4 linked regions of the Diceros bicornis minor genome follow. The protein of the gene in region 1 interacts with the protein of each later gene in a pairwise test. Links are inferred from orthologs where the notes say so. Each region holds a gene or a part of one and is shown on either strand. Other genes may lie near its edges. The genes, in order: NFE2L2, MAFK, MAFF and MAFG.

Evidence for each region.
Region 2: the proteins of NFE2L2 (region 1) and MAFK interact in binary tests that used the Homo sapiens proteins (3 or more experiments, as listed by UniProt). The link is inferred for Diceros bicornis minor from reciprocal best matches to the Homo sapiens genes NFE2L2 and MAFK.
Region 3: the proteins of NFE2L2 (region 1) and MAFF interact in binary tests that used the Homo sapiens proteins (3 or more experiments, as listed by UniProt). The link is inferred for Diceros bicornis minor from reciprocal best matches to the Homo sapiens genes NFE2L2 and MAFF.
Region 4: the proteins of NFE2L2 (region 1) and MAFG interact in binary tests that used the Homo sapiens proteins (3 or more experiments, as listed by UniProt). The link is inferred for Diceros bicornis minor from reciprocal best matches to the Homo sapiens genes NFE2L2 and MAFG.

The regions. Positions count from the first base shown.
Region 1 is NC_080749.1:57,827,183-57,834,480, reverse strand, and holds the start of NFE2L2 (nuclear factor erythroid 2-related factor 2), read left to right. Parts: upstream 1-4,282; 5' UTR 4,283-4,286; coding exon of another isoform or gene 4,287-4,331; intron 4,332-5,299; exon of another isoform or gene 5,300-5,516; intron 5,517-7,298.
Region 2 is NC_080765.1:13,004,489-13,011,499, forward strand, and holds the start of MAFK (transcription factor MafK), read right to left. Parts: upstream 3,007-7,011; 5' UTR 2,837-3,006; intron 1-2,836. UniProt on the Homo sapiens protein: Since they lack a putative transactivation domain, the small Mafs behave as transcriptional repressors when they dimerize among themselves.
Region 3 is NC_080764.1:11,638,865-11,646,619, reverse strand, and holds the start of MAFF (transcription factor MafF), read left to right. Parts: upstream 1-4,746; 5' UTR 4,747-4,930; intron 4,931-7,755. UniProt on the Homo sapiens protein: Since they lack a putative transactivation domain, the small Mafs behave as transcriptional repressors when they dimerize among themselves.
Region 4 is NC_080757.1:61,254,649-61,262,281, reverse strand, and holds the start of MAFG (transcription factor MafG), read left to right. Parts: upstream 1-4,621; 5' UTR 4,622-4,674; coding exon 4,675-4,914; intron 4,915-5,630; exon of another isoform or gene 5,631-6,224; coding exon of another isoform or gene 6,225-6,284; intron 6,285-6,741; exon of another isoform or gene 6,742-7,223; coding exon of another isoform or gene 7,224-7,349; intron 7,350-7,633. UniProt on the Homo sapiens protein: Since they lack a putative transactivation domain, the small Mafs behave as transcriptional repressors when they dimerize among themselves.

The sequences.
Region 1 (7,298 bases):
TCCACTCTAGTAAATGCAGAATGGAAAGATTTTCAAAACTTGTGGTTAAAATTCAAATTGAAAATGAAATGGACCCAGTGGCTTGGGAGAAAAGCAAGTGTTCCTTCCTTACCACTACACGCCACCACCACTTTTTTTGCTTATCATTATAAAAGTAATACATATTTATTTAGGAAAATACAGACAGGCAAAAATGAGAAAAATAAAATTATCAGTAATCTAATCAGAATGATTATGGTTAACATTTTGGAGTGTATATGTTCAGTCTTTTTTTCCTGTGCAGGTATATTTATATAGGTATCAACACATATAATTCAAAAGCACTCTTAAACTTCTGAGCTTTTCTCTTTACTTACTGCGCTGCAGTTCCTGCAGAGTACTGTTTCTATTATGACCAGGAAACTCTATGAGTTAAAACTGGCTTTGGAGATATACAGCTCTTTGTATCAGTAGTTTGCATAGTGAAGTGTGCACACCAAGGAACCAAGGTTATGGGTGTTTTTTTGAAATTAATACCCCAATTATTTTGAATGCTGCTGTACTGGAGTTCAGTTTATCCACTGGGCATGCTGCTCCTGAAGTTCAAATTCCCTCAGCAGATATTCAGCAAGTATCTTACATAACTGGTATAAATGAGGTCACGTCAGGGCCAGAATCTCTGTACGTGTTTATACCTCCATCTACTTAATTGATGAAATATCTGTGTTCCTTAAGTGTATTTTGATAAGGAGAATATCTCACTATCATCTATTTAATAGTATGATACTGATGCATGCTGTGATGAGGTGATTTACTTTGTATGTAGCAACAAGTATATATTATAGGAAAGATACCTTCCTCCTTCACAGGGAGGGCAATTTGCTTCTGAGGATTTGAGAATCTGTTAAACTGCAAAGTACCATCCCTATATGTGCTCCTAAGGATGATTAACAAACAAAAGGCAGCCAGGAGAAACCTTGCCTTCTGTATTCAATATATGCTGTTTTCGTTATCTATTGCTGTGAAACAAACCACCCCAAAACTTAGTGGCTAAAAATAACATTATAATCTCTCACAATTCTTTCGACTGATTGGGCTCAGCCAGGCAGTCTTCTACTGGTCTTGCTTGGAGTTTCTCATCTATGGTTGCAGTCAGAAAGCAGCTGGGGCTGGAGTCCTCTGGGGCTTGACTAGGTAGGCTGGAAGGTCCAAGTTGGTTTCTTCACTCACATGCCTGGTGCCTTCTTGGCTCATATAGCATCTCTCCACTTGGAGTCTCATCCCCCAGGGTTGTCCCCATGGCTGTCTTCCCATGAAGAGTGAAACTTCTTACATGATGGCTGACTTCTAAGAGTATAAAATTAAAAGCTTTCAGGCCTTTTAAAGGCTTAGGCAGAGACCTGGTATAGTGTCACTTCCAGCCTCCTTCCATAAGTTAAAGCAAGTCATTTGATTCAATGTGGGGGGACTACACAAGCACATCAATATCAGGAAGGGTGGTTCATTGGTTGCCACCTTTGGAAACTAGCTGCTTGTAAGCTGGACAAATTTAGAATTTCAACTCTAATTTCAAGAGAGTCTGGATATTTTCTGGCTTGAACAGGGAGTACAATTAAGGGGAAGTGAAAAGAAGAGGGAAGAAGTCTCAAGGTGATGAAGGATTTTGAAACAGTGGTACTTTCTTGGGCCTTTCAAACTTGGCACGTTAGATCACCAAGAAGAAGGTGAAATAATGGGTCACTGCATCACTATCCAAACTTTGCACACTCAGAAGGCTTACTTGATGATGCTCATTTTTTATAAGAATTCTAGAGCAAAGTATTACAATTCTGACACATTTCTAGCATATATGGAAGGTTGTCTTTCCAAAGACAGCAAAAAATTCAGACATCAATGGAAATGTACAAGGGTTAGTAGAATGTGAAACCAAGTGGGGGAAAAAATAAAATAGTAGCTAGGAGACCCTAGCAGTAAAAAGGACTCCCCTGGCACCAGGACAGGAGAAAAAAATCAGCATCCTCTTTCCTGTTCCCCTGGAGCTTCTGAACGTGCAGCATCTGTGCCCCCATAGCACAATATGTAGGTTTAGAGGGGAAGGCCTAGGTTTTCACATGAAGACCATCTCATTTCAGTGTTTGCAAAGACTGAGAACCTCCTTGACATGGGTGGTCTGAGACTGGGGTTCCCTTTTCTTGTGCTGAACCACCATTTAACACCAAACAGCTTTTCCTTAGTGTTTATTTTTCTTAAACATGTTCAGACTCATCATATTGTTCTCCTCCCTTTGAAAATATGTACTCTGCAGGTGCCTGAAATAATATACTTTCAGCAATTGCCGTTTTGTAAAAGTAAAGGTTATTTCATTCAATCTAAACTCAATGGAAAATTGTTGCTTAACAAGGAAATACCAAACACTTTATAAACTCCTTGAGGGCAGCAACCATGTCATATATGACTTTAGTATCTCCTACCTCCTGGGCTTATTGTCTGCCTTCACAGATTTAGTAGTATTAATAAGTAACTTGAATTGTTAAGAATATACTCTTGTGCCCTTCTTTGACGCAGACATGTCATTTCGTTATGTCTCTGCATGTTTCATGTCAGATTCATTGTAAATAACTTCCCCTAAACTTGTTTTCAGTGTGCAGATCATTTTGCCGGCTTTTCACATAACATCTGAAAGGGTTTAATTCAAGTTGAAGAAGCTTGCTTCAATTACAAGCAATTAATTTAGGCTTCACTTACCTCAAGGAATATTTGAACATATAAATTTACAGATAAATCCGGGGAGTGTCAAATTATGCAACCAAGAGAAAGTATGTTCTTTGCAGATTTTAGGGCGTTGATCTGCTATAGTCAGGCTTTTTTTTTTCCCCTTGGCATCAGGTTTTTGAATGAAATAGTAAAATCACTGCGGGCACTGTCTACTCACCTGGTTTTGCATAATTCCAAGAAGCTAGAAACTGAAAAGCAGACTTGTTAAAGAGTGAGGAAGATTGTTAATGTATAAAAGAAAAAACCAAAACAAAACCATTTATCTATTCTCTTTTAAATCTTGAAAGATGTCACAATATTCCTGTTTTCAAGTACTTGAAGTTTTCTGTGGGCAATAATTAATTTTTAAATAACTGTTTTTAATGTAATACATAGTCATTTTAGATTTAAAACATACTTAAAGTAACAAAGAGAAAGATAAAAATTATTCATGATTCTACAACTATTAATATTTTGGCGAACAACTTTCAATTTTTTTTCTAGGCACATGTTTTTACAAAACGGGTCCATATCATACAAACTATTATATAACTTGATCTTTTTTATTTTCATTTTTATCTTTTAAGTTATATCGTACGTGAAAAGAAACTTGCAAAGATTATGGCATGTTGCATTATCGCAGTGTTAAAGGACGCCATCTCTGGTGTGGTGCGCGCGCCTTGGTGGGAAGAGAGAGCTCCTGGCCAGCAATACTGACCACTCTCCGACCGAAAGAGACTTCTCCGTTTGCCCTTGGCAACCTGAGTCTAGTAAGAGTGCAAGCGCGTAGGAGTAAGTGGAGGGCGTTCAGGGTGATTGCGAGCACGAGCTCCCCGCGCGGTCCACATTTCCCCTGGGCAAGTCCCACTGGCTCCAGCCCCGGGGGGGGGACCGATGGCGAGAGGCCAGTTTGCGGTGCGCACGGCCTGGGTCCCAGCCTTCGGCCCCCGCCCCCGGGGCTGGCGCCACTCCCGGGCGGTTGGGTGAGATAAAGCGGGGCAAGGTTCTGCAACTCCAAATCAGGGAGGCGCAGCTCCGATACCAGCGCCTCTGCCGGGTCTCCAGGCGTGTTTGTTCCAACTGTTTAAACTGTTTCAAAGCGCCGGAACCCCAGCGACCTTGCAAACAACTCTTAATCTCGCGGACGGAGAGCGTGGGTTTTGTTTGCGGGGCAGAGCAAATTCAGAGCGGAGACCAGAGAGCTAATGCAGCCCTCCTCCCGGCACCCCGCCCGCCTGTCCACAGGGACCCGCGCCCGCGGCCCTTCCCCGCCCCCAGACCGCCAGCTTCTTGCGTCAGCCGGGGCGGGGGTGGGGGATTTTCGGAAGCTCGGCCCGCGCGGCCAGCGGGGGAAGGAAGGGCCTGGGCTCGTGCCCCGCCCTCGGGGGGCGGGAGGCGGAGCAGGGCAAGGGCCCGGCCGGCGACTCCGGTTGTGTCGCGGAGAGGGAGACCCGAGGAGCCGCCGCCACCCGTGCCGCCCTGTCCGCGCCGCGCCTCGGCAGCCGGGACAGGGCCGCCGTCGGGGAGCCCCAGAGCACGGTCCACAGCTCAGCATGATGGCCTTGGAGGTGCCGCCACCGGGACAGCCGTCCCAGCAGGTGCTGCCCCGGCCCTCCGGGCCCCGCGGTAGTGCCAGGACGGGGACAGGGGACCGAGGGAGCCGCGGCCCGGGAGGGACAGCTGCAGCCGGCTTCTCCTCCCGTCTATGGCTGGAACCTGTACTGCAGCGGCCGCGCACTGGAGCCGCTGCGCTTGCGCCGGGGCCGGGCTGGGAGGGGGAGTGGGGACCCCAGGGGCTGCGAGTGGAGTGGGGGGCGCGGTCGGGTGGTCCGACCAACAGTGTGCCCGCGGCCCCTGAGGGCGACTGGGTTGGGCTTTGGGGGCTGCGCCCACGCGCGTGGGGTGAAGGGGTGTCCCCGGCCGCCGGAGCTGGGACGCGGGAGCCCCGGCCAGCCCCCCGAGTTCGAGCAGTCCCACGGGCGGCAGGGCAGGAGGGGGCGGACGCTGGCGGTCTGAGCCGGCGCAGCCCGGCCCTTCCGGGGCTGCGCGGCTCCCCCGCCTCGGAGTCGGCAAAAATGTGCCTAGTCACGGGGCCGCTCTCGGGGGAGCTGAGGTCCCCTCCGGGCAGAGACCCGGAGCCCCTCCTCTGCCGTCGCCCCCTGGCCCCATGAGCTCCGGGAGCGCAGGCTGCGGTGCGGCGCTTTCACCCCGCCGGGCCGTACAGGAGTGCTTCTTTGCAAAGTAATCAATCAGTCTCCCCATCCGATCGCTCTTAAGCACTTGGGAGAGAAAGCCCAACCCCCAGGGTGGGGGAGGGAGGAGGTCCTGAAGTGCCCAGCTCGCTCCGATACCCCGACGTGCGGCGGCGGCACCGAGCCCCGCGCGCTCCCTCGTGCGGTGGGAAAAGTTTGGGCTCGTAGACCCCGGGTCGGCCGCTCGCAACGCGCCGGGAAGTGCAGGCGGGGCAGCGGACTCGGAGGTCAGAGTCGGCCGCGCCCCGGGCGTCTCGATCCCCGCGCGGTGCCTCCGGGTGGCGCACGCCGCGTGCGTGGCCTCGGCCTCCGTGACAGTGGCCAGTTGGCTGTCACGGCGGCCCTCGGTTGGCCCTTTCCTGCTTTATAGCGTGCAAACCTTGCCGCGTCGGGGCCAAGGGACAAGTTGGAGCTGTTGATCTGTTGCGCAATTGCTATTTTCCCCAGGGCGGCTTTGTCTTTGGATTTAGCGTTTCAGAATTGCAATTCCAAAATGTATAAAGCAGGATATTCTCTTCTCTGCTGTCAAGGGTAAGAGTTGCTAGTGTACATTAGCATTTCTATTGCTTTTAGGCTGTTAGTAATTTTTTGCTTTCATATATTATTTCTCCTTTGAGTGCTTTATATAATTTTCCTTTTCTGTTTGACAATTTGCCTCGATTTCTTGGCATGTTGCTTCTTTTGCAGGGGCAGAGGATGAGACATTTGTGTTTCATAGTTCTTTGCTAACAGGTTCTGTAAATTGTTATAAAAAGTGAAAACAAGTTTCTGTTCATACTTTGTAGAGACTCTTAAAGGAGTAGATATTTATATTTCCAAATTTTTTTTTTGTACTTGGATTCGTAGGAAAAAATATTTGGTTCAAGGAGATGTATAACTTAATAGATACAATAAATATGTTTGTGCTCTTAAATGTAAAGTTTTAGACTGATCCTGAAGATCTAAAGTAAGGTTTTAAGTTACTGACAATGTATTAATTGTGGTTTTTTTTCTTTAAAGCTTTTTGTCTTGAACTTTCCCCCAGTAATGATTAGGATTGTATTCCTCGCCTTCCCACTACTATGAAAAAGTAAATTGTGTTTTCTATTTAGCTGCTGTTCAAAAGTAATCTATATAGCCATTTACATAGTAATCTGTATGACCAAAAGATATATGATGCTAATGGACTTTAGTTTTCCTAAATTCAGGAATTGTAGCCTAGAGCCCTCTATTTTTTATTTTTTTCTTTCTTTACTATGTAATTTAACATTCTATATACAAAAATGCGTAAAGCACATGTACTGCTTTCTCTTTTAAATATGAATTTTCCAGTTATGTTTGATGAGGTAACTGCCTTTCCGCCTTTGTAATCGGACATCAATATGCATATTTGAAGACTATGAAAAAAGAAAATGAAGTAAAATTTAGAATCAATTTCATGTGTATAACTATGATTCATATTAAATCACTGTTTGTAGTCCAGAAAGATTTGAACAAAGAGTCAGAAGTGGATTCTGACCTTTTTTCAGGAAACTCCAGGTGTAAGATAGGAGTATCATTCAGTTTTTCGTCTTCTGTGCAGAGGAGGTTTATAACGAACAGGGCAGGAAGGAGAGTCTTCAATTCTGTATTTCCATTAGGTGGAAGCAACCATCCATTACTCTTTTCAAGAAAAGAGTACTTTCGTATAGGAGGGATGAAGTTGATCTTGGCAATAGACTGATAAGATTATTTTTAAAAGAAAAATAGGACAGGCCTCTCATCTCCTGAATGAATGTTAAGCAAAGAACAACTTGACTTTTTAGATAGGTGAAGAATCTCTTGAGAGATCATGGAAGTGGCATGCAGGAGGATAAATACACAACTCACATCAATCTTTCTGCATTAAAAATAACTTGGTCCATTTTGGAATCTTTCTTGTTAACTTGGGTTTTTATAAAGAATGCTGGAAAAAGCAAGTGTCTTTCTTTAGGATTACCGGGAAGAGTTGAAAGCCAAATACATTATTTTTCTTAATATTTATTTTTATTCAGGATGAATTATACTTACAGAGCTGCATGAGAAAAGGAATTCTCTGTGGACAATAAGCACATTTTTTTTCCTGGGAATTTCCTCGCTACTGGCTGAACGCATTTAAAGGGGGTTTTGCATAAATAATATTTCCTCGATCTGGGGTAACTTTTCCATGTAAACGCTTGGGTGCAGGAAGAATTTGGCACTATGACAATGATAGATGAGTTATTGGGCACTTCCTTGCGTGCCAGGCATTGCGATAATTGCTTCACATGCGTAATTTCACAGTAACCCTGTGGGAAATACTATTAGCTCCAGTTT
Region 2 (7,011 bases), on another chromosome or scaffold:
GATGCTCTGGCCCTGCAGCACCGCCCTGCTCAGGCCCCTGGCTTCTCATCAGGACTCCCATCTCAGTCCCTCACATGCAACCCCCCAGGCAGGCAGAGGGACCCACCGGCTCAGAGTCCCTCCCAATCTCCCCATTCCCTTGGTCGCCTGTCGCCACTCCAGGCCTCTACCTCTGGCTTCTTACAGCCACCCCCCCAATCTGTGCTGGGCTCCCACTCTTCTGTCATCCCCTGCCCAACCCTCGCTTCATCAGAAAGCCCCCCTCCTGCCCTCCCTGTGGCGGGCGGGCACCCTCTCCTGAGAACATATCAAGGGCTGAGCCCAAGACCTGGTCCTGGTCTTTCTGTCTGAGGCCTGCCTCCCTCACTGGATGGAGAGGAGGGGATGCTCTCACCTACACCCGCTCCTCTCAATTCCTGGCAGGTGAAAGGGGCCGCATAAGCAGATGTGTCAGCACTGCACTGAAGGGAGGGGGGCCGGGGGATGGCTTCTACCCCAACACCTTCTGCCTCCGCCTTGCCCAGGACACCCAGACAGCAGGCAGGGCACGGCACTGGCCCCTGGACATGGGGCTCTGCCGTGGCAGGCCAGGCAAGGAACCCTTGGGGCTTGGTTTCCTCATTTAAAATGGGGTCTGCGTGTGTGTGGACCATGTGGCAACTCAGGTTCACTTCTACCTGCTCTAAAATTCTACGATTTTAAGATGACACTTTCAATTTCCTGAAACTGTAAGAAAGAGGAAACATGACAAGCCTGTGACTTATAAAAAGCAAAAGTAAATAGCGGAGCAATGCATCTCCCATTGCAGAGACCGGCGGGCGGGGGGGGGGGGGCCGAGAGGAGGGTGAGTCACTGTTTACTGCTCTGAGGAGCAGCTACACAGAGAACGCTCCCAGCCATTTCCCGTGTGGACTGGACCCTGAATCCAGAAAGTCCACGCCAGAAACCTTTAGACTCAGGCAGTACTTCTTCTAGGTCGCCTGTGATTATAAACAAACTCGCCGGAGTGAAAGCAAGCACGGTGGACAAAGAACAGTCCGGAACACGACCTCGCTCAGCGGCAGCCTGGGTGCCAGAGAAAGGACTGGAACGCAGCAAGCCCCACACTCAGGAAGAGCGACTCCCCCAGTAGCCTCAACTCAACTCCCATTTTTAGCAACCACCTTGAAAGTAAGCGACGCTGAACTTGGACCCAGTCCCTTAAAGTCCAGCTCGGTTCAAGCACAAAAAGCAAATGCGCTCCAGGGAGAAGCCTTGCTTTGTGTTTTTGAGTTAATAAACATTTTATTTTGGAATAAGGAGAGATCCAGTTTTAAGTTTTGAAAGCAGACCCCCCCCCCCTCAAACTTCAACATTCCTCCTGGGTCGCGGAGGGAGGGAAGTGCTCAGGAAGCCTGTCAGCTACCCACAATGCAACAGGTTGCAGGTGCGCCCCACCCACCTGCACAGCCCACCAACTTCCCAGACCCCTCCCACCTGCTTAGACTAACATTTTTTTAAAAAGCACCATCCCCCCCTACAGACATCAGGCTTGGAGACTGGGCTCCAGAGGTGCCACACAGGACACACAGCTACACTTTCTCAAGATACCTGCTCAGTGATCGCTGTGACAGCAAAACCTCACCAATAAAGGGGTCAAGGGAGGGCAGGTGGGCACCCAAGGCACACTCGTGGGCACCCAGTGATTCTGTGTTAGGCATGGGTGTACATCTCGGGAGCTTCCCAAGGTCAGACACCTGGCAAGAGGAGGTGGCTGAGTGTTGGTCAACTGCTGAAGGAATTGTTGGGTGGGACATCCCACTTCTGCCTGAGCTACAAGAGCTGTGTGAAAAGTCAACAAGAGCGTAATCATTAACACAAGACAGAGAGCGCTGGACTTCAGCAAACTCCAACACGGACTGCTCCAGCATGTGTTCTGCGTTGGTGAGAAGACCCCACAACTACTGTGGGAGACAGAGGGCAAAGCGGTCTGCTTTTCCTAGGACAAACCTGGGTCCAGATCCAAATACTCCCGTCCCCTCCGAGGCTCCGGGGAAGGTGCGTGGAAGAGGCAGCCCGAGACATTATCTGTTTCCTGAACTCAGCAGAATCACAGAAGAACCCGCATTTAAAATTAGAAGACATGGAGATGCCCCATTCATAGATGAGAAAAACGAGACGCGGGCCACGGGGGAAGCGACACGTTTGCCCTGCACCTCATCCCACCCAAAGCCTCCACATCAGGGCTCCCTCCGGGAACCCCCGGGCAGATCAGCTGCTCAGAATGTGACCTCGGGCAGGGAGTCCCCTGCTGCTTCCCCTGCCCACCTCCGAGCGGTGTGGCCCATGTCGCGCGCAGTCACGGGTGGAAAGTGGCCGCAGGGCCGGGCAGGACCGCACGCCGGGCCAGCGGAAGCGTCCAGGTGACCGAGGCCGAGTTGGCCTAGCGCGACCACGCGCTCCCCGCGCTCTCCTGCACGTGGCATTTATTTTCGCCCCCGCCTTCCCGCTTCGAGCGGATCCCCGGGGTAAAGGCTGAGCAGGTGGGGGGGGGGGCGGGCGCCGGGCTCCCCACCTGCCTTGCCCTGGAGAGTCCACCGCCTCCAGGCTCGGGCCCTGAGCGGGGGTCGGGAGTCAGGGGCGCTCCCGTTCCCAGAAGAAGGCGACCCGTCTAAGGGCGGGACAAGACCCCCAGCCCGCAGCCGCTCGAGGCAGACACCTGACGGCAAGTGTCCCGCAGTCTCGGGGTCCAACCCAACTCCGCGCGGGTCCGAGGAGCCATGACTCAGCGGCCGGCGGGCCGCGCACCCCAGGCCCCCACCGCGCCCCCGGCCCCACCCCGCCGGCCGCTTCTCACCTGACGTCGCACGGGGGCGCGGGCGCGCGGCGGCTCCTCGCGGGCACGCGCTCTCCTCGCGCTCACTCGCGCTCCCCCTGGGCCGCCGCCTCCGCCGCGCGCTCGGGTTCGGACTTCGCGAAGAACAACAAGTCCCCCCGCCGTCCGCCGCCAGCCCGCCCGCCGGCTCCCAGCATCTGACACCGCTTCCGGGATCGGCGTCGGCGCACGTCACGCCGCCCCGCCCACCGCGTGCCGCCACCGCCCCGCCCACGCGGGGCCCCACCACCCCCGTGAGCTTTCGCCCCGCCCACCAGAGGCCCCGCCCACCGCTCACCGCCCCTCCCTCACAGGCCCGGCCCCCGCCGGCGCAGGCGCACCGAGCGCCTCCCGTCTGCCCCTCCGGCGGCGGGGAAGCAGTCCCCGTGCCCACCTGGGCAGGGCTGTAAGGTTGTACCTGTGCTCCCAGGTGTAGCCCGCCCGCGTGGTGGCAGCCTCGGCGCACACTGAGACTCGCAAGTGGCGGCAGTCATCCTCGTTCATCGCACCGATCCAGGAGCACCCCCATTTCCCCCTGGAGCGCGCCCTCTCGGGGCTCGGGGCGGGGCGCGCTCTTGTCTGCACCCCAAATTCCCAGGCAGGCCCTTGCGTATCCCCTCAGCCTCACCGGAGCCTTCGGGAGACCCCGCCGTCCCCAGCGGTGGTCGCAGCCGAAGCCCGCGTTGGGGAAGGGCTCCCGGGGAGGGGTCTTCGCGGGGAGGGGTCTTCGCAGTGGGGAGCGGCCTCCGCAGGGTGAGTGGGGCTGGAGGTTGCTTTCTGGGGACAGTGCTCCGGACATTATATCCAAGTCTCAGAGTGGCGTGGTTTAATCACAAGAGGAGACCACCTGGCTGCACGCGTCCAAGACACACCACCGTCTGCGGGGCAGGCCAGCCCCACACACGAGGAAAGGGCACCTGGCGTCCCCTCCTGACGGACACCCCCATCTGTCTTTTGAGTTCCCATTTTTGATCAAGAAAGAGTAAAGAGAATGATTTCTGTAGGACAGCAAACAGTGTAAGATGGTGATAAATGGCATTGACCCACAGCCTCAGCGCCCCAGGACCCTGAGGAACAGTGCCCAACGGAAACCCCAGCTGATGGTCGCCCTGTGGAAACAGGCCCAGCAAACGGGGCCCAGAACGGGGATACGACGCCCTGGTCTCAGTTCAGGGCCCGGCGCCTCGGCAGGGGAGCAGCCTCCTCCTGCGCAGGTGGAGGACGAAGCTGGAGAGGTGACCCGTCCAAAGTCACACCGCCGGGCCTGCAGCTGGGCCCAGCACCTCACTCCCCTTCTGCCAGCACTTGGACGGGAGGCTGAGCCCCTTGACCGTGTCTGCATCCCTCTCTGGGAAATAATGAGCTGCCTCAATGGGGCTGCACGTCTCAGTTCTGAATAAGGAGCGAGGGAAATCCGCCAAGGCTCTGGGAGTGACGGCAGGCCTCCCACGGGCGCACACTGCATCTGCTGAGGGGTGTTTGCGGGTCTCAGGCGCCTTTGGGTGTATCCTGGGAAACAAACAGGAAAAAGTGCCAAGAAGCTTGTGGGTCTTCCTTTGGCAGTTAGCAGCACAGCATGGCTCTGTGTTTAGCAAGCGGCTGTGGCTTCTCTCTGCGGAGAACGTGGGCTTCCTTCCAAGCGACCTGCCTCTGTCGGGCGCACTTGCCTTGTGGGACAACCAGGCGTGCTGGTGTTTGCTGATGGCCTCGACAGGAACAGCCGCCAATACACAGATCAGCAGCGGCAGTTGCAAGCTGTCCCATCTCTCCAGGATGTTTTCAGAGTGATTTCCCCCCGGGATTTCAAAGGTGTTTCCCCTTTTTCCTAGCCAACACTCTCTGGCCTTGGGTGCAGAGCTGCAGCCGCCCACTTTGTGGCCCCTCTCTGCAGGACTCCGCCACCGTGGTCGGGGATAATTGAGTTTCCCGTGAGTGTCCTCATTTCCCAAACTTGATTGCAGTCTTTTCACGTTAATATTGGGTTACAGAGAGCACTGTCTAATTACTCTCCTTAACTTCTTGAAAGAAGGGCATTGAGAGGTTGGAATTAGGCAGAAGTGAGAGACGCGGGTCACACTTATGGTGTGACCTTGTGGGGGGTTCTCTTCATTTCACCCCTCTAGTCTTAGTTTCCTCAACTTTAAAATGGGCTTAATAAAATAGAATGAAGATGGGCTTTTTAATAAATGGTGCTGGGACAACGTGATAACCGTTTAGAAAAAAATAAAGTTGGGTCCACAGTCTGTCCACACTGTACACCAGCATTATATGTTTCAAATGGATCAAAGATTTAACATTTTGTGAAAGAAACCATTAGATGATGAGAAAGTTCTGGAGATGGATGGCAGTGACGGCTGCACAGCAATGTGAATTTACTTAATGCCACTGAGCTGTACACTTAAATTGGTTAAAATGGTAAGTTCCATGTCTTGTATGTTTCACCACAATAAAAAAAAATAAATTTAAAAAAACATTAAAATATTTGCAGAAAATATGGGTGACTTCCTTTAAAACTTTGGAATGGGAAAAGGTTTTTCTAATCATGATTAAAAATCCAGAAAAAGACTTAAGGCAAAAATCACCATAAGCAGTTGCAACCCACGTCACGAAGGACCATCTCCCTAATTTACAAAGGGCTCCTAGAAATATGGAAGGAAAAGACGAAAAAGGAGTGAAAGATATGAATAGATCATTCCCAAAAAAAGAAATCTAAGTGACAGAGGAAAAGATGCTCATAATAAGAGAAAAGCACGTTAAAATGACATTGCGATTCCATTTCTCATCTCTCAGAATCCAAAAATCAGACCACATCCTCTGATGGGGATGTGGGAACGGGCCCTCTCATGCTGCTGGTGGGGATGCAGGAGGGGCGTGGAGCAGCCTCTTCCACACTTACCTTGGACCCTACTTGTTCTCAGAGTATACGAGGCTCGTCACTGTGGCATCAGCTGTAAGAGCAAAAGGTGGAAAACCACCAAGTTGTCATCGTTAAGGGACAGGCTAACCAAACTGGGGGACATCACACGATGGAGTACCACGCAGCTGTAAAGACAGGGATGCAGAAGATCCCCGTACTTGGACATGAAGACTTCCGGGGTATGTTGTAAATGTGTGAGCAAAGAGCAGCACTGGTTGTGTGATGTGCTGCCTTTAGGGAGGAGGGGAGGGAGAGGAAAACATGGATTCGTGCTTGTCTGAATCTACAAAAGGAAGACTGGGGGGAAAACAAGAAGCTAATAGAAAGGGCTGCCTTGGAAGTCAGGCGTGGATGGGGCACAGACAGAAACGAAACCTCTTCACGTTGTTTCCTTTCCACTGTTGGACCGTGTAAGTGTATTACCTATTCAAAACTATAAAATTAAGTTGAAATGAAATGAAAGAGAGGGAACCATGCAGGACTCTCGTGAGAGTTCAGTTTCTAAACAGCCGTGAGGACCTGTGCGCCTTGCCTGGTCCCTGGTCGGCCTTGATAGGTGGTCCCTTTTATTGCAGCTTGACGACAGAGGCAGCATGGGTTATGCCAGATAAACTGCCCTCTTTGCCCTGGGAAGAGTCCCTCGACCATCAGGGCCCCAGGACTGGGTGGACCAGGCCCCATCGCCCAGCTGTGTGGAGCTCTTCCTGGGGAAGAGCCTGGGGCACTGCTGGCAGGGGCAGGGTCCACGCTGCCCTGCCCTCCTTCCAGAGAGTTGGAGGTAGGGAGTGCCATGGGGCGAACTCAGGTGGCCCTGGCCAAAGTCCAGGGACAGGGAGGGACACTAAAGGCCCCACGATCCATTACTCTGTGGGGAAGAGGAGAGGCAGGGCAAAGGCTATCTCCAGCCCTGAGGGGGCAGCTGGTCTCCCTGAAGTGGTCCCCAGCAGTTACTACCCCCCAGAGTTCCCATAAACACCCCCAGGCGCCCTAACCCCAGAAAGGTGAGGGGTTGGAACCTTGGATAGGCCAGACTTGGGGACATCCTGCTGCACGTTGCCCCATGGGTGGACAACTACAGCTCTCTAGGAACTGAACCGGGCCAGTATTTAACCCCACGCTCTGTAAGGGGACAGCCATTGCAGGCGGGTGTTTGCTGACTGTGGAAGGAATGACTTGTGCTTCTCTGCATGGCCAGCAGTGCTCTGAGACGCCTTCCCTTGTCCGGCGCTGTCCACCACCG
Region 3 (7,755 bases), on another chromosome or scaffold:
CAAGAGAAGGTTCCTAAAGGTGCTGAAAGGGATGCCTTTGACATCACTTCCACCCGGCAGAGGGACCCACGGAAAATTCGGGACTTGTCTGGCTGAGGGGGCCAGGGAAGGCCCCAGGGTCTGGGGACTGGAGCTCATGGAGCCTGGAAATCAAATCTCAGGGCAGGAAGGGCCTCCAGGAAATCGTAAAGCCAGCCCTGGTCTCCTCCGCCGCAGCCAGCTTCTAGCTGTTCTACAGTGTGGGATGTACAGCAGTCAACTTTTTTTTTTTTGCTGAAGAGGATTAGCCCTGGGGCCGGCTCCGTGGCATAGCGGTTAAGTGCTGGAGCTCTGCTGCCGGTGGCCCAGGTTCCGATCCCGGGAGCTCACCGATGCACCGCCTGTCAGGCCATGCTGTGGCGGCGTCCCATATAAAGTGGAGGAAGATCGGCACAGATGTTAGCCCAGGGCCAGTCTTCCTCAGCAAAAATCTAATCAGCTAATCTCTCTCTTTTTTTTTTTTTTTTGGTGAGGAAGATCAGCCCTGAGCTAACATCCATGCCAATCCTCCTCTATTTTGTATACCGGATGCTGCCACAGCGTGGCTTGATGTGTGGTGCGTAGGCCCACATCCGAGATTCAAATCTGCAAACCTGGGGCTGCCAAAGTGGAGTGTGCAAACTCAACCATTAGGCCACCGGGCCAGCCCACAGAGTCAACTTTTATTCGAAGAAGGTTTACTGTGGTTTGAGAGTGTTTAAAAACCACTGACCTAATCCTACACTCTCACTGCAGGGGGGGAAACTGAGGCTGGGAGTGAGGAAAGCCCCACACTGGTCAGCCAGGGGGGAGATCTGAGCTGCAGATCCTGGCTCAGGTCAAGCCTGTCGCTGTTACTGAGCACCCACTAATGGGCAAGGCACCTGACGTGGGCCAGGGTCCCTCGGGGACAGGCTTGGGTGCTGTTTGTTGTTTTGGGCTCCTGGACAGGTGAACAGGGACCAGCTGGGCCAATTAGAGTTCTGCTGGACTGCGCTGGCAGAGGGCAGCTCCCTCCCTAGAAACTGGCGATGAGGCCCCTCCCTGTTGGCCGGAGGTGGGGTCTCTGGGCAGGGTGGGGCCATCACTGGTTTTGTGTCACTCACCCAGGGAAGAGGCAGGTTTCTCAGGAGTGTCCTAGAGGAATGGAGATGACTCATCTCTCCCCAGTCCAATATTTATCGATCTTTTATTCAATACTAGGCACTGTGCCAAATGCTTATAAGTGTGAACACGTTAAATTGTGTCACAATCTATGAAGTAGGCACTATTAGTAAGCCCGGTGTATGAAAGAGGAGACGGAGGCAGGGAGAGGTTAAGTCACTCAGCTGGTGAGGGGTAAGGCCAGGATTTCAGCCCACAGGCTAACTTGAAAAAACAAAAAAAAACGTTTTTTTATTAGAACAAAAATTGCAAGAATGATAGAGGATTTCTGTATGTTCTTTACCCAGATTCCCCAATTGTTAATATTTTATCACTTTTTCTTTATACTCCTCCATCTATCCATCTGTCTGTCTGTCTATCTATCTATCCATCCATCTATCATCTTGTTCTGAACCATTTGAGAGTAAATTGTAGACACGATGCCCTTTACCTCTAAATACTCCAGTGTGCATTTCCTAAAATCAAGGACATTCTCTTACATGACCACAGAACAATGATAAAAATCAGGAAATTAATATCAATATGATATTATTTAATCTACAGACTGTATTCAGATTTTACCAGTTATCTTAATAATGACCTTACAACAAAGGAAAATCCTGGATCACACATTGTATTCAGTCATCGTGTCTCCTTAGACTGCTCTATTATGGACCAGTTCCCGGTCTTTCTTTGACTTTCATGAACTTGTCATTTTTCAAGCATGCAGTCCAGTTGTTTTACAGAATTTCTCTCAGTTTAGGTTTGTCTGATGTTTCCTCCCAATTAGATTCATTGTATGAGTTTTTGGCAGGAATACTGCAGAAGTGATGCTGTGTCCTTCTCAGTGTATCATTTAGGAGATACACATGCCAATTTGTGATATTAACTTTGATCACTTAGTGAAGGTGGTATCTGCCAGGTTTCTCCACTGTAGAGTTACTGTCTTTCCATTTGTAATTAATAATTGTCTATGGGGCAATACTTAGAGACTATGTGAATATCATGTTTCTCATCAAATTTTTGTGTCTGTTGATGATTCTCATTGGAATCCATTATTACTGTGGTGGTTGCCTAATGGTCATTTTCTAACTGTATCATTCCTTCTACCATAAGGAGGACCTTTCCCTTCTCCTTATTTGTTTATTTATTCATTCCTATTAGTATGGACTCATGGAATCTTCTCTTATTCAATAGATTATAATCCATCAGTACTGTTACTTCCTTTCATGCTCAAATTGTCCCAGATTTGGGCAGTAGGAACCCCCTTCAAGTCAGAGAGCTCCCATTTTTAAATATGACATCACACCATGTCCCTTGACCTTGACCAGAAAGGGAGCCACGTCTGTGGGGAGCAGGCCCTGCTGGGTGGATGCTGAAGCGCTGCCCCCTAATGCGTCAGCCTGGGGATGGGAGCAAAGGCCTAGGACTGAGGCAGCAAGGCGTCCAGGGGTGTCGTGCAGGTCTGCTGGGGACTCATTCACTAGTTGAGTACCTATTATGGCCTCAGCTCTTGAGAAGCTCATAGAAGATGGGGGAAGAGAAGTCCAACAATCACAATTATGCAGTTTCTAAAATCAAGAACTTTTGTATCCCAAGAGGTAACAAGAGTGACTCCCTTAGAGATGTAAATGTAGGGCAAGCGGGCAATGTTAGGGGGGATTGTTTGAGTGTAGACAGAGCTGCCTCAACACTTGGTCACTGGGAAGCTAGGGGGCCAATCTGCATATGAAACCCAAGGCCTTTGGGAGCTAAGGGACAGATGTTACAATCCCAGGGGCACCAAGGCCCAGAGGCAGGAAAGCATACGAGGACTCTGAAATCATGTTACATTATATTAAGGGCAGGGGAGCCTTGCCTGTGACCAGGGTGCCACATAAAGACCTCCTAGTTGGGGAGGTCCTATGCCCCACGCAGTAAAATCAGGAAGGTGCTGTGATGACAGCCTCACAAGAGATGGCTCTTGGAGTGAAGGCAGGCATGTCAGGCAGTGGAACAGCATGAGCAAAGGAAAGGGAGAATAAACTGCCCCCATTGTGCCCCCAAAGTCACCTCTTTTGGATGGGGCTCCAAGCACCGAACGCATTGTTCACATTTATGCTGGGCCCCACCTAGTTGAGCATAGCTCCAAACATCTGGACCAGGAATCAGTCAGATCTGGATTCAAATTCCAGTTCTTGTACTTCTTAGCCTGGTGACTTTGGAAAGTCACTTTACCTCTGTGAGCCTCTACTCATTTATTTCCTCCACGAGTATTTACGGAGGGCTTACTACATGCCGAGCACTGTTCTAGGCACAGGACATACAGTACTGACCGAGGTAGACAAGGGTCTACCCTCATGAAACTTACATTCTGGGTGGGGAAGACAGACACTAAATAGTAAGCAAATACATAAACATGATAATACCCTATGGAGATATTAAGGTAATATAAAAACAAATGTCAGAGGTGGGGGCTCCTTTAGCCACGGGGTCAGGAAAGGCCTCCCTGAGGCAGTGACATCTGAGCTGACCTGACAGATGAGAAAAAGCCAGGCAATGAACAGAAGAGGACACAGCCAGTGCAAAGGACCTGCGGCAGGAAGGAGCTTGGTGTGTTTGTGGAACCATAAGAGGGTCAGCGTCACTGAAGAGGAGTAGGTGACAGGTGAAGAGTGGTAGGAGGTGAGGCTGGAGGGTTGGATAGAAGCCAGATGGCTTAGGGCCCTGTAGGCCAAAGGGCAGATTATAGTTTATATTCTACATGTGAAGGGAAGCCAGAGAGGGTGCTAAGCCAGAGAGAGGGTGGGAGTGTGTGAAACAACCCGGTGTTTGCTTTGAGAACCCTGGTGTGTGAAGAAAGCCTTTAGAGGCAAAGTGGGGAGGCGATCAGGGGGCTGCTGCCGTTGTCCGGGTAAGTTGATGGCGCCTGCACCAGGCGGTAGGACTGGGGGTCGGGGGAAGTGGTCCAGTGCAGCATGGTGTTGGAGGTAGAGCCAGCGTGACTCATGGTGAGGGGAGGAAGGCAGAAGGAGCGACGGCGCGAGGCTCCTAGATTTGGGCTTGAACAACTGAGACAGAGGAGACTGGGCACGGGAGCTGAGTTAGGGTGAACGATCAGGAGCTGGATTTTGGCCGTGGAGTGTGTGCAGTCCCCCCCTCGCACCTACGGGGAGGCGCGGAGCGGATACTCGGATGGAGTCTGGAAGTGAGAGAAGCTGTTCGCTCTGGAAATACAGATTTGGGGCTCATGGGCATATAGATGGCATTTAAAACCACGGGACTGGATGAGATCATCAAGGCAGAGGGTGTAGGACGAAGGAGAAGAGGCCCGGGACTGTCGTCTGTAAAATGAGCCAAACGACATCTCCACCCACGCGGCTCTCGCGAGGTGTCACGTGAACGCACCCAGCGGGCGCTCGAAAAGGGGCTGAGAACCTCCGCGGCGCCGTCTGTGGGCGGGGCCTACCGGGGGCGGGGCTGCGGATCCGGGAGGCCGCTCCGGGCCGGTGGGCGGCCGGAACGGTGACGTCACCGCATGACTGGGTTTTTATGAATGAAAGGAATCCTGTGAGTGAGTAATTCCGGGAAGCTCGCCTTACAACTCGGCGCGGCCCCCCGCGCCGCCCGCCCCACAACAAAACTTGCCGCGCTCCCGGGAGCCCGGCTCCGAGAGACCTGCGGTCGGGACCGGAGGGGAGACGGGCCGGAGCGCGGGCCGGGACAGCAGCCGGACGGCGGCGGGACCCGCGCGTGCCAGGGGCGCGAGGCGAGGCGGGCCGAGAGGCGGGTGAGGGTCGCGGGGCCGGGACGGGGACGGGCGCGGGGCCCCGACGCTCAGGGTCTGCGCGCCCCGGGAGGCCCTGGGGCGGGGCGCGGGGGCCGCTCCGTCGGTGCTCCCGTGTGTCCATCGCCTGGACGGCTGGTGGGGGGTGTTGGGGGCAGAGGTCCGGCGACCGAGACGGGGCCGAGGCAGGCGTGGCGGGGTGCGGGGGTGATGCGGGCGCGGGCCGCGGGGCAGCGGAGCCGGGCAGAAGGGGCAGCGCAGGCGGGCGAGCGGCAGTCCGCCCAGGAGGGCGGGGGGCGGTGTGCACGTACGTGACTCGGTGAGAACAGTCCCTGGCCCGGAGCCCGCGGGCCGTGCGTGCGCGGTTTGTTTACGTCGGAGGGCGGGCGGGCGTGTGTGTGCCCTGGCGGGCGTCCGGGTGTCCTGCCCGGTGCGTGCGTGCGGGGTCTCTTGGAGAGAGAGCGAGAGAGCGAGCGAGAGAGAGAGAGAGAGAGAGAGAGAGAGAGAGAGAGAGTGTGTGTGTGTGTGTGTGTGTGTGTCCACCCGCGCGCTCTCAGGCCTGTGAAGATCCTGGAGTGTGTGTGTCCGCGTGTCTGTGTGTGTCCACCCACGCGCACCCAGGCTGGTGAAGACCCTGGAGTGTGTGTGTGTGTCTATGTGTGCGTGCTTTGGGCATCTCAGAGTGTGTGTGTGTGTCCACCCGCGCACTCCCAGGCCTGTGAAGACCCTGGAGTGTGTGTGTCCGTTTGTGTGTCCACCCACACGCTCCCAGGCTGGTGAAGACCCTGGAGGGTGTGTGTGTGTGTCTGCGTGTCTGTGTGTGTCCGTGTGTTTGTCCGTGTGTGCGTGCTCTGGGCATCTCAGAGAGTGTGTGTGTGTGTGTGTGTGTGTGTGTGTCTGCCCGCGCGCTCCCAGGCCAGTGGAGCCCCTGGGGTCTGCGTACTAGCGGTGCGTACCTCGGAGGCCGTGTTCCCACGAGTAAAGGCGGAATAAGGACCCAAGTGAGGGAAGCAACCCGGTCGGTGGTCACACGGGGTCCGGGAATTCTCGCCTGGGCTGTCCCCTTCTCACCAGCCAGCTGCGGCCAGTCCCCCGCTCTCCCTGGAGTTTCCCAGGGCCGTGGCCATGTGACTGTGGTGTTTGTCCCTGCGCCCAGAGCCGGCGCCTGCAGCACAGGGTGGGGCGAAGCATCAAAGACCCAGCTGGGCTGGGGGGTGAGGTGAGGGGGCCACCCCTCACCCCAGCACCCTGGTGGGTCTGGCAACAAAGTGAGCTGGCGCCCAGGTCCTTGTCCCTAGGTTTGAAGGCCGCCTGGGGGAGGCGGACCCTGGGCACTCTTCTTCATCCTCAGGGTTGCCCATCCCCTCAGTCTCAGGAGGAACAGGAAGGGCCAGAAAACCCACAGCAAAGGTGGGAGGTAGGAAGCGATCCCAGGCTTCCTCTCCTTGGTGGCTGCTCTGGCTGGCCTGGGTTCTGGAGGTTGTACCTGTTGGGTCTGGGAGGGTGAGACCAGGAGGATGGGGTGGAGCTGGTTTCTGCCCTCCTGGTGGTTTCAGTTCACGGGTGTGACTAGTCAGACAGACCTATCGATCGCCAGACCTGAGGAGCTAGTTGAGGGCCTGGCCAGCCAGAGGACCCAGGGTCCTCACCCTGGGCCAGGCGTGGTCCACAGGCAGTGGGCACGTGGCCTTGGTGTATGAAGGGTTAATGGGTGAGGGGTGGGGCCCTGACCTAGCCCCCCTTCACTTCAGTTCTGCGGGAAGCTTCCATTTAGCCCAGTAGCCTGAGGGGTGGGCTGGGGCCAGGGATTCTGTGTCCTGTTCTGCCCTCCCCCTCCTCCCACCCAGGAGGGAGGGAGCTGAGCTTGCTGGGGTGAGGAACTGGAAATCTCTTAACTGTAAACTTCTGAGCCCTGGTGAGCCCTGCTGCCACAGCTGGGAACCTCAGTGTCCCCATGTGCAGCAGGAACTAGGTGACATGGGAGGGCAGGATGGGGGTGAAATGGAGGAGGTATGGCAGCCTCCACACACAGCCTATTTTCCAAGGGAACTGTAGGAGAGAAAGCAGAGCCAACAGCCCCAGGCTGAGGCCAGGGATGTCCAGGAATATGTGGGGTTCGAGTAAGGGAGGTGGCCACAGGAGCATGGGACACAGGCAGACCCAGCCTCAAAGCTGGGCAGGAAACATCCCTGAGTTGGGCCAGGGGTCAGGGGACGAGGGGAAGTGGCTGGTTGACTCAGGCACAGATGGAAAGCTGGCACTGACAATTTTAACCTCCCATTGAATCACCCCTGGGCCTTCACTGTGGCCTGGGACCCAATGTGGGCTCCCTTGGCCCCTGTGCCTCCCTCAGTCCTGATGCTTTTAGCCTGCATTGCCATGGAGCCCATCATGGGCCAGATGCCAGGGATGAGATGGGGAACAAACCAGATCCAGAGCCTGCCCTCTGGGAGCTTACAGTTGCAGAGGGGAGACAAAATTGAAGGAAGAACCACCAAACTCAGTGCAAAACCACAGCTGAGATGGGTGGTATGAGGGGGAGGTCACTGTGGTTTGCAAGTATAGAACAGGGCTCTGACTTAGCCAGGGCAATCAAGGAAGGCTTCCCAGAAGAGGTGACCACTGAGCCAGGTTGTCAGATGGATTGATGATCGTCTGCGAAGCCCTTGAAGGCAGGGGCTGTGATTCATCTTTGGGTCATCGGGGCCCAGCCTTGAGCCTGGCACAAAGTAGGTACTTCTTGGATGTTTACTGATTGAATGAATGAATGAGCACTGGGTCCATGTCCTGGAAGAGCTTCACAATACATGGAGACAAAGGCCTGGGAA
Region 4 (7,633 bases), on another chromosome or scaffold:
ATTCAAGACAAGGGCTCCTCAGATGGTTGAACTTCTGAGGTGACTGGCACACTCAGTCCACTGTCTCCCATTCCTAACCCAACCCACAGATGCTGTCACTTTTCTCCCTGACCTTTTACGTTAAATAAACTGGTTTCCAGCCCCAGTGCCCTGACTTCTAATGTTGTCACCACATGTGGAGGGAGGCCATCCCCTGGCCAGAGAACTGTTGTCCAGTGTAACAGCCAGGCTGCCGGGGGTGGGGGGGGGGCTGAGCATCCCAGTGAGCAGAGGGGGAAGGAGCTTCCGGGGAAGGGTGCAGCCCTTTGGCCTCAGTCACTAGAGGCAGGATGGAAGCTGGTACCATAAGCTGGGCTTGGCGTGCCCTGCTGTGGGAGGGGCACCAGCCTCTGCATCCTCCAAGCCTCCTGGCTTGGTGGGGGAAATGTCTCCTCATCTCACCCAGGCGGGGCCAGGGTCACATGAGGAAGGAGCCCCCTTGGGGGTGTATTAGAGTTCTCCAGAGAAACAGAGCCAATAAGAAATGGTTTATATATATAAAATAAGATAAATATAGAGAAAAAGAGATTTATTATAAAGAATAAAGAATTGGCTCATGCAGTTGAGGTTAGCAAGTCCATGTACAGGCTGGACCTACAGAGAGCTGATGTTCCAGTTCAGAGGCCATCAGGCAGGGAGAGGCAGTTATAGGTGATGCCGGAAGGCAGTCTGCTAGACAATTCTCTCTTACTCTGGGAGGGGCTGTCTTTGTTCTATTGGGGCCTTCAACTGACTGGATGAGGCCCACCCACATTATGGGGAGCAGTCTGCTTTATTGATTAAAATAATCTTGTGCAAAAACACTCTCACAGAAGTAGCCAGAATATTTGACCAAACATCTGGGCACCCTATGGCCCAGTCAAGTTGACATATAGAATTAACCATCACTGGAGGCCCATAAGATCAGAGGAGCTACTGAGGGTCAGAACCCTTTCTGGGGCCAGGAGTGCTCACATTGGTTCAATCAACAAACAGTTACCAAGCATGCAGACAGTAAGATGAGGCTCCTTGTTTCCAGAGGTTGGGACACACACACACACACACACACACACACACACACGCTCAAGTATGTTAGGGGAGCTGGGCTGGGTGTCTGTGGGCTGTGTGGGGGGAGCCCCAGGCGAAGCAGTGGTTCCCCCCAAGGAGCAGAGGAGGGGATCAGGAGAGCTGGGCAGAAGTTTTCGAGGAACCACATTGCAGGGTCTCATCTCCAGTTCTCCTTCCTCTGGGCCCACTTAGAACCAAGGCCTGGGGCACGTGGGGTGGGTGGAAGGGGCACTTTGGGGACAAAGGTACAGCCTCCAAATCTAAGGGGAAAAAGGAGACAGGAAAAACGGAAGAAAATGCACAAGAGATAAATGAAGGGCAAGACTGCGTTCCTCGTCCCTGTCAGGGTAGCCTGGAGAGTCCTGGTCACTCCCCCCAAAAAAAAAGAAGATGGGGGGGTGTGCTGCTCCTGCCACACGCACCAGGTCTGAGGGTCAGAGAGAGGCGACCAGGTGACTCTAAAGTGGGGGAGAGGCATGTCACAGCCTTGGAAGAAGAACAGGAGTCCAGACAGGCTTTGCAGCGGGGCTTGGTGCCGGCCCGTGAAGAAGACGCCGGATTTCAGCAGGCAGGACCCATGAGCATTCTCGCTGTGGTTCCGATTAAGCCACAGGCCAGAGCTGGGGCAGCAACAGAGTCAGATGGGGCCTGAGGGAGGGCTGTGACTCAGGCAGGCCAAAGGCTGCCGAAAGGGTTGAGGCGGCCTACGAGGCCCAGAGCGTTCTGCAGGGAGAGACACCACAGAAGCCACTGAAAGTGTGAGCACAGACCTGAGCAGAGCAGGAAGGTGTTTTACATGGATCCAGAGCAGGCCAAGAGGGAGATGGGCTCTGGGGGCCGGGGCCCCCCAATGCCAGCTGAGAAGCATTACAATGTGCCTTCTCAGAAAGCCGCAGAAAAATGTGGCTCCAGAAAAGCCACTGCAGGAGCCTCACTGGGCTAGGGTCAGCTTGGCAGTGCCTTCCTGGCCCATCACTACCAGCTCTGACACCTCCCATGGCCTGGACCCCCTAAGTGGGGTAGAGGCTGGAGTGAATCTTACTGTGCTTGGCCCAATGGGCTGGGTAAACCTGGTGGAAGAGCCAGCTCCCTCTGCTTGATCCAGCTCCTGCCTCAGTTTCCTAATTGGAAACTTGCCTTAGGCTCTTGCCTGCCTGGCTGAGGCTCTTACCCTGCCCACCTCTGCCAGTCCTTTCCTGTGCCAGGCTGACACCTATCCCATGGCCCCTGTGCAAGCTGAGCTCAAGCTCCAGAACAAATGGGTCAGCAGCTCCTGGCTGTGTCTGTTCCCAGGAGAGAGAAGGAGCGGGGAGGGAAATTCCTTGCTCCCGAGAGTAGGAGGTCCCTCAGGGAGAAGGAGCAGAGCAGCAGATGATTCATAAATTGGCCTCTCAGTTACCTCTCATGTGTAAATGGCAGCCAGACTCCATCCTGTGAGGATTGAGGAGTCAGGGGTACAGGAAAGTGAGTGAGGATTAGCCAGTGAGTGTCCACCTGTGGTAGCCCCCAGCCCCAGGGCCAAATCACTTGGTTATCAGTGTTTCCTGATGGCACCATGGTTCCAGCTTGACCTAGGTGGCCCCATGTCAACAGATGGGGCCTGCTGTACTCCCGCAGCCCAGCGATAGCTCGAAGTCCACACAGCTACTGAGCAAGACCAGGAGAACGGAGCCGGCACCTGGTGGTGAAGAAGCTAGAGGAGACAGAGCCAATAGGACTGCATCCTTGGCCTCAGTGGCAAATCTTTGCTCTTGTGTACATTACGAGTTGAGGGCTGGGCCAGCCCGTGGTGTAATGGTTAAGTTCGGTGCACTCTGCTTTGGTGGCCCAGGTTCACAGGTTCAGATCCCAGCTGTGGACCCGGGCGGGCTTGTCAGCCATGCTGAGGCGGTGACCCACATACAAAATAGAGGAAGATGGGCACAGATATCAGCTCAGGGCTAATATTCCTCAAGCAAAAAAAAAGAGGAAGATTGGCAACAGATGTTAGCTCAGGGCCAATCTTCCTCACCCAAAAAAAAAGAGTTGAGGGGCCGGCCCGGTGGCTTAGAGGTTAAGTGCGCATGCTCTGCTATTGGTGGCCCGGGTTCAGATCCCGGGCGTGCACCAATGCACCACTTGTCTGGCCATGCTGAGGCCGCATCCCACATACAGCAACTAGAAGGATGTGCACCTATGACATACAACTATCTACTGGGGCTTTGGGGAGAAAAAGGGAAAAAAAAAAAAGGAGGAGGATTGGCAATAGATGTTAGCTCAGGGCCGGTCTTCCTCAGCAAAAAGAGGAGGATTGGCATGGATGTTAGCTCAGGGCTGATCTTCCTCATAAAAAAAAAAAAAAAAGAGTTGAGGGCTTTAGAAGTCATGTCACAGGTACATGAAGGCCCTAAGTATGTGACACTCGGGCTATACCCAGTGTAGGGGGATGTGCCCTGCCCTAAAGAGCATGGGATGATACGAGAACCACAAGCAACCCTACAAAGTAGAGAGTGACAAGGAGCTGTGTGTTCAGAGAAGTTCCTGGAGTCTGGCAGGTGATGCTTGTGATGGCTTTATGCTCCCTGGCTTCAGAGGCTTCCTTGGTTGGCCTTCCTCATTCATTCAGTGGCACTGCATTCTCACAAGGACCCCACAGCGGGTGCCTCCTCTGTCAGCTCACCTGGGTTCCATTGATCTGCCTGGCAGGGTGGGTCACCCTTCCTGGCTTTACACCTGAGCAGCAGTCCAGAATTGGAAGTGGAAGTTGGAGCCCTCCGATTTCCCTTCTACCCCTTCATGGTCTTTCTCTGGGAATTTTGAACAGCAGTGAGAACTCCTTACAGAAAGGGCAGGAGCAGACATGGATACGTGAACTGAGTTCCAGACAGATGTTGATGAAAAAGGAAAGGCAAGGTACAGTTCCTACATCAACTATTAATTTAACAGATGTTTACAGGCGCACCTGCTCTGAGCCAGACACGGTCCAGACACAGTCCTTCTCACTTATGTGAGTTCTCCGGGTGTCGGGTGAAAACGGACCACACTAATCACACTACTGGGAGGATCCTGGAGGTGGCCTGAACGGACCTAAGTTTGAATCTTGGACAAGCCTGTCACCTCTCCGCGCCTGTTGCTTGTCTGTGAACCAGGCCACTGTTCCTGGCATGGCTGAGGAGAGCTCTCCAATTACGCGAGGTAATAATACATGTAGAGCCTGCCGTGCGGCATCAGAAACACCAGGTAATGCCCGGGGACCGCGGGTCCGCACCCGCCCCCTGGACGTGGCCAGTGAAAGTGTGTGCACACCAGGGTAAGGAAGGCGCCTGGGCAGGACCCGCGGCTCCCGCTGTGGAAGCGGGGTGGGGGGGTGGGGGGCAGTGTAGCAGGTTAAGGGTGGGCGTGGCCGGCGGGGGAGCGCGCGTCCGCGCCAGTCCCGCGAGACCCCGCTCGGGCAGGGCGGGGCGCGCGCGTTGTCGGGGCGACGGCGCTGGGCGCGCAGGCGCAGTACAGGAGCGCTCCGCCGCCGCCGCTGCGGCCGCTTCAGCCGCCGCTGCCGCCGCTGCCGCCGCACCTTCCCCTTTAAGCCCCGGACGGTCGCGTCGCCGCTTCATGAATGGAGCCCACGTGACCAAACATCATGTGACGTCTGTGGAGCGGCGGCGGCGGCGGCGGCGGCGGCGGCGGCGGATCCCAAGCCTGGTCCGGCCCGGCCTTCCCAGCGCGCTCGGCCCGGCCCACGCAGGCGGCGAGCACGCCCCCCCCCCCCGCCCCCTGGGCCCGGAGCCCCCGCGCGGCCTCGGAGAGCCCCCCGCCCCGCCCCGGCCTCGGCCCGCCCGGGCCTGCAGTGTGGTGGGTGAGACGGCGGCGGGCCCAGGCCGGGCCGGCGGGGTCGGGCGGGGGGCGTGCGGGGCGGGCGGGGGCTCCGGGCCCGGGGGCACGGCGGGGCCGCGGCTCCTCCTGGTGGACCGGGGCGGCGCGGGCTGGGCGCTCCTGGCTTCGGGTCTGCCCGCACCCTCCTGGCGGCCCGTGCCTCGACTTCCCCACCGGGGAAGCAGCTCTTGGCTCCTGCTCCTTGGGTGCTGGGGGTGGGCCGCAGGAGCCGGCGGAGCTCGGGGCGGGGCGTGTGCGGGACTGGCTCGGTAGAACCTACCGCGCCCTGGAGGGAGGGGCGGCCGGGGTGGCGGGAGGAAAGGGTGGGGTCGAGCGGGACGCTCGGGGCTCCGCGGAAGAGCACGGCGGCCCCGGCTGGAGCTGCTGATTCATCAGGTGTCCGTGTCATCGCCTCCCGGGCGAGGGGTCCTTGGCGGGCCGGGGGAGAGAGGTGGCACGTGGCAGGGCTGAGAAGACCCTGCTCCGTCGGTTTCGCCCCCTCACCCGCGTGCCAGAACCCAGAGGGAGACTTGCTGAGTCATCAGCATGAGGTCACTCGATGCTCATGTTGATGCCTGGGGGGATTTGAGCTAGGGGCTTCAGGGCCTGAAAGGTCGGGAAACGAGGAGTAGGAGGGAAACCGTGGGGATGTGGGGAATAAGCCCGGCCCAGGGGCTGGGGCGCCTGTTTAAGTTTGGGCTGATGAGCGAGTTGAGGGTAGGGCCGTGAGGAGGAAGTGGAGGGGCCACCTTGCAGCTTATCTCCTGGTCTGGAAGGTGAAGTGTCTGGCCTGTCTGGCCTCTCCCAGGCATGCTACTCTCTGGCAGCTGGTCCTGCACCCGCATCTGGGACAGTTCTCCAAACTGGGAAATAGTTCTCTGAGTTACAGGAGGGGAGGAGCTTAGGGGGGCCGTGCTTGCTGGGCTGGGAAGCAGGCTTTCCCTGTGACGAGTCTGGTTGGCCAAGCTGGGCAGCCCTTGGGCAGGGAGAATAGGGATACACCCTGGCCAGAGAGAGAGGCAGTGGGAGAAAGAGAAGTGCCTGTACTTGAGCCCTGAGTGACGGTGGACAGGGCAGGGGGCAAGCAGGGGCAGCTCCACCAGGAAATTGCAAATGAGAGGAAGCAGCAGGACTTAGACGCCTGGGGAGCAAAGTGGTGAGCAGGCCCAGCCCTCCTTCGCAGCCAGGCCTTAGGCTCTGGGTTGAGGCTGCAGGCAGTGGTAGCTTCAAGGGTGCCTAGCCTTCAGAGCACGGTAGGTGGGCTGGTGTGGATGGCATAGAGTGGAAGAATGCAGTTCTCAGTCACCCCAAAGTTGTCCCACCTGAAGTTGGGGCTCAGCGTTGAGGAGGTTAATGAAAAACATGGCCCTGATGGGTGTTGAGGACTCTTGGGGAGTGACAACCCAAGGGTAATGTGGCCAGAGCCACCTTTCCTGGGTGTATGGGTGGTTCCTGGCCTCCAGGGATGAGAGTGTTTTGTCTAGACCAGAACTGACCCGTCTTGCCCAGGGGTCATGGTTAGCTTAGGTTGGCCTTGGGGTGTGTCCCCAGGGATGCCCCCCCCATACACATTCACACTTAGCCCTAAATCTTCTTATTTACTTATGCTTTAGTGGAAATGAAGTTGTAGACTTTTTCAGAGTGGCTTTCAGTGGCTGAGGGCTTCTGGAGGAGGTGGGAGTGAGGCCGGGTTAGGTTGAGTACCAGAGTGCCCAAGGCCACATCTGCCTAGGAGGTTTGGCCACGGGGTTTGCAGGCCAGGAGAAGGAGCAGGGGTGGCTGGCTTGCCTCCTGCCTAGTGCCACGGGGTTTGCAGGCCAGGAGAAGGAGCAGGGGTCGCTGGCTTGCCTCCTGCCTAGTGCCCATGCCCTGGAGTTGGGTCCAGGGGAAGGGGATGGAGCTGCCCAAACCTCTTTCCCCTTCCTGGCTGGCTCTGAGCCTGAGTGGGAGGCCCAGGGTACCTTGGTGGATTGGGGCCCTTGGGACCCTCCGTTCCTTCTCCATGAGGTGGGCTCAGCCTCTGGGGAAGCAGAGCAGGGAGGAGGGCTGGTGGGTGTGGGGGCAGTTTCTCCTTGATCCGGCCTCGGATCCCCTCCATCTGGCTTCTAAAGATGCCCTGAGCCATCACTCCTAGCCCATCCCCAGAGGCTATCTCTGTCCCATCAGTGTGTGTCCCCAGGTGGGCAGCAGAGGCCAGGAAGCTGGCTTTGCTGAGACCTGCCCCTCCCCCACCACCCACCTTTGATTAGGAGGCGATTGGCTGTGCTTGTGCTGAGTTCAGGCCTTCTATGGAGGGTGAAATCTGTCGAGGAGGCACTTTTCCGCTCCCAGCCGCCACACTTGGCACTTTTCTTGTGATCTCTTCAGGAAGTCACCATTGTGCTCAGCATTCAGGGGTGGAAGAAGGATGGCAGGTGGGAAAAGCTGGTGTCAGGGCTTTTCCTTTGGGCTGACAGTGGTAGGACACAGGGCAGTGTCCCTGCACCCCGACTTGGGGTCAAGGCTGGGGGAGCCCCTGCAGCTCCGCTGCGAGGGCCTGACTCCCAGGGTGGGTGTGGGTCCGTGAGGACCTTCTGATCTCCAGCTCTGGTCTGCCCCATCTTCTGCTCTGGAAGAATCATGCGGCTGGAGCCTCAGGGCCTGCCTGAGAGCCCCGGGTGGCCTGTCTGTGGGGAGGTGCCTCTGGCCTCCTTCTTGC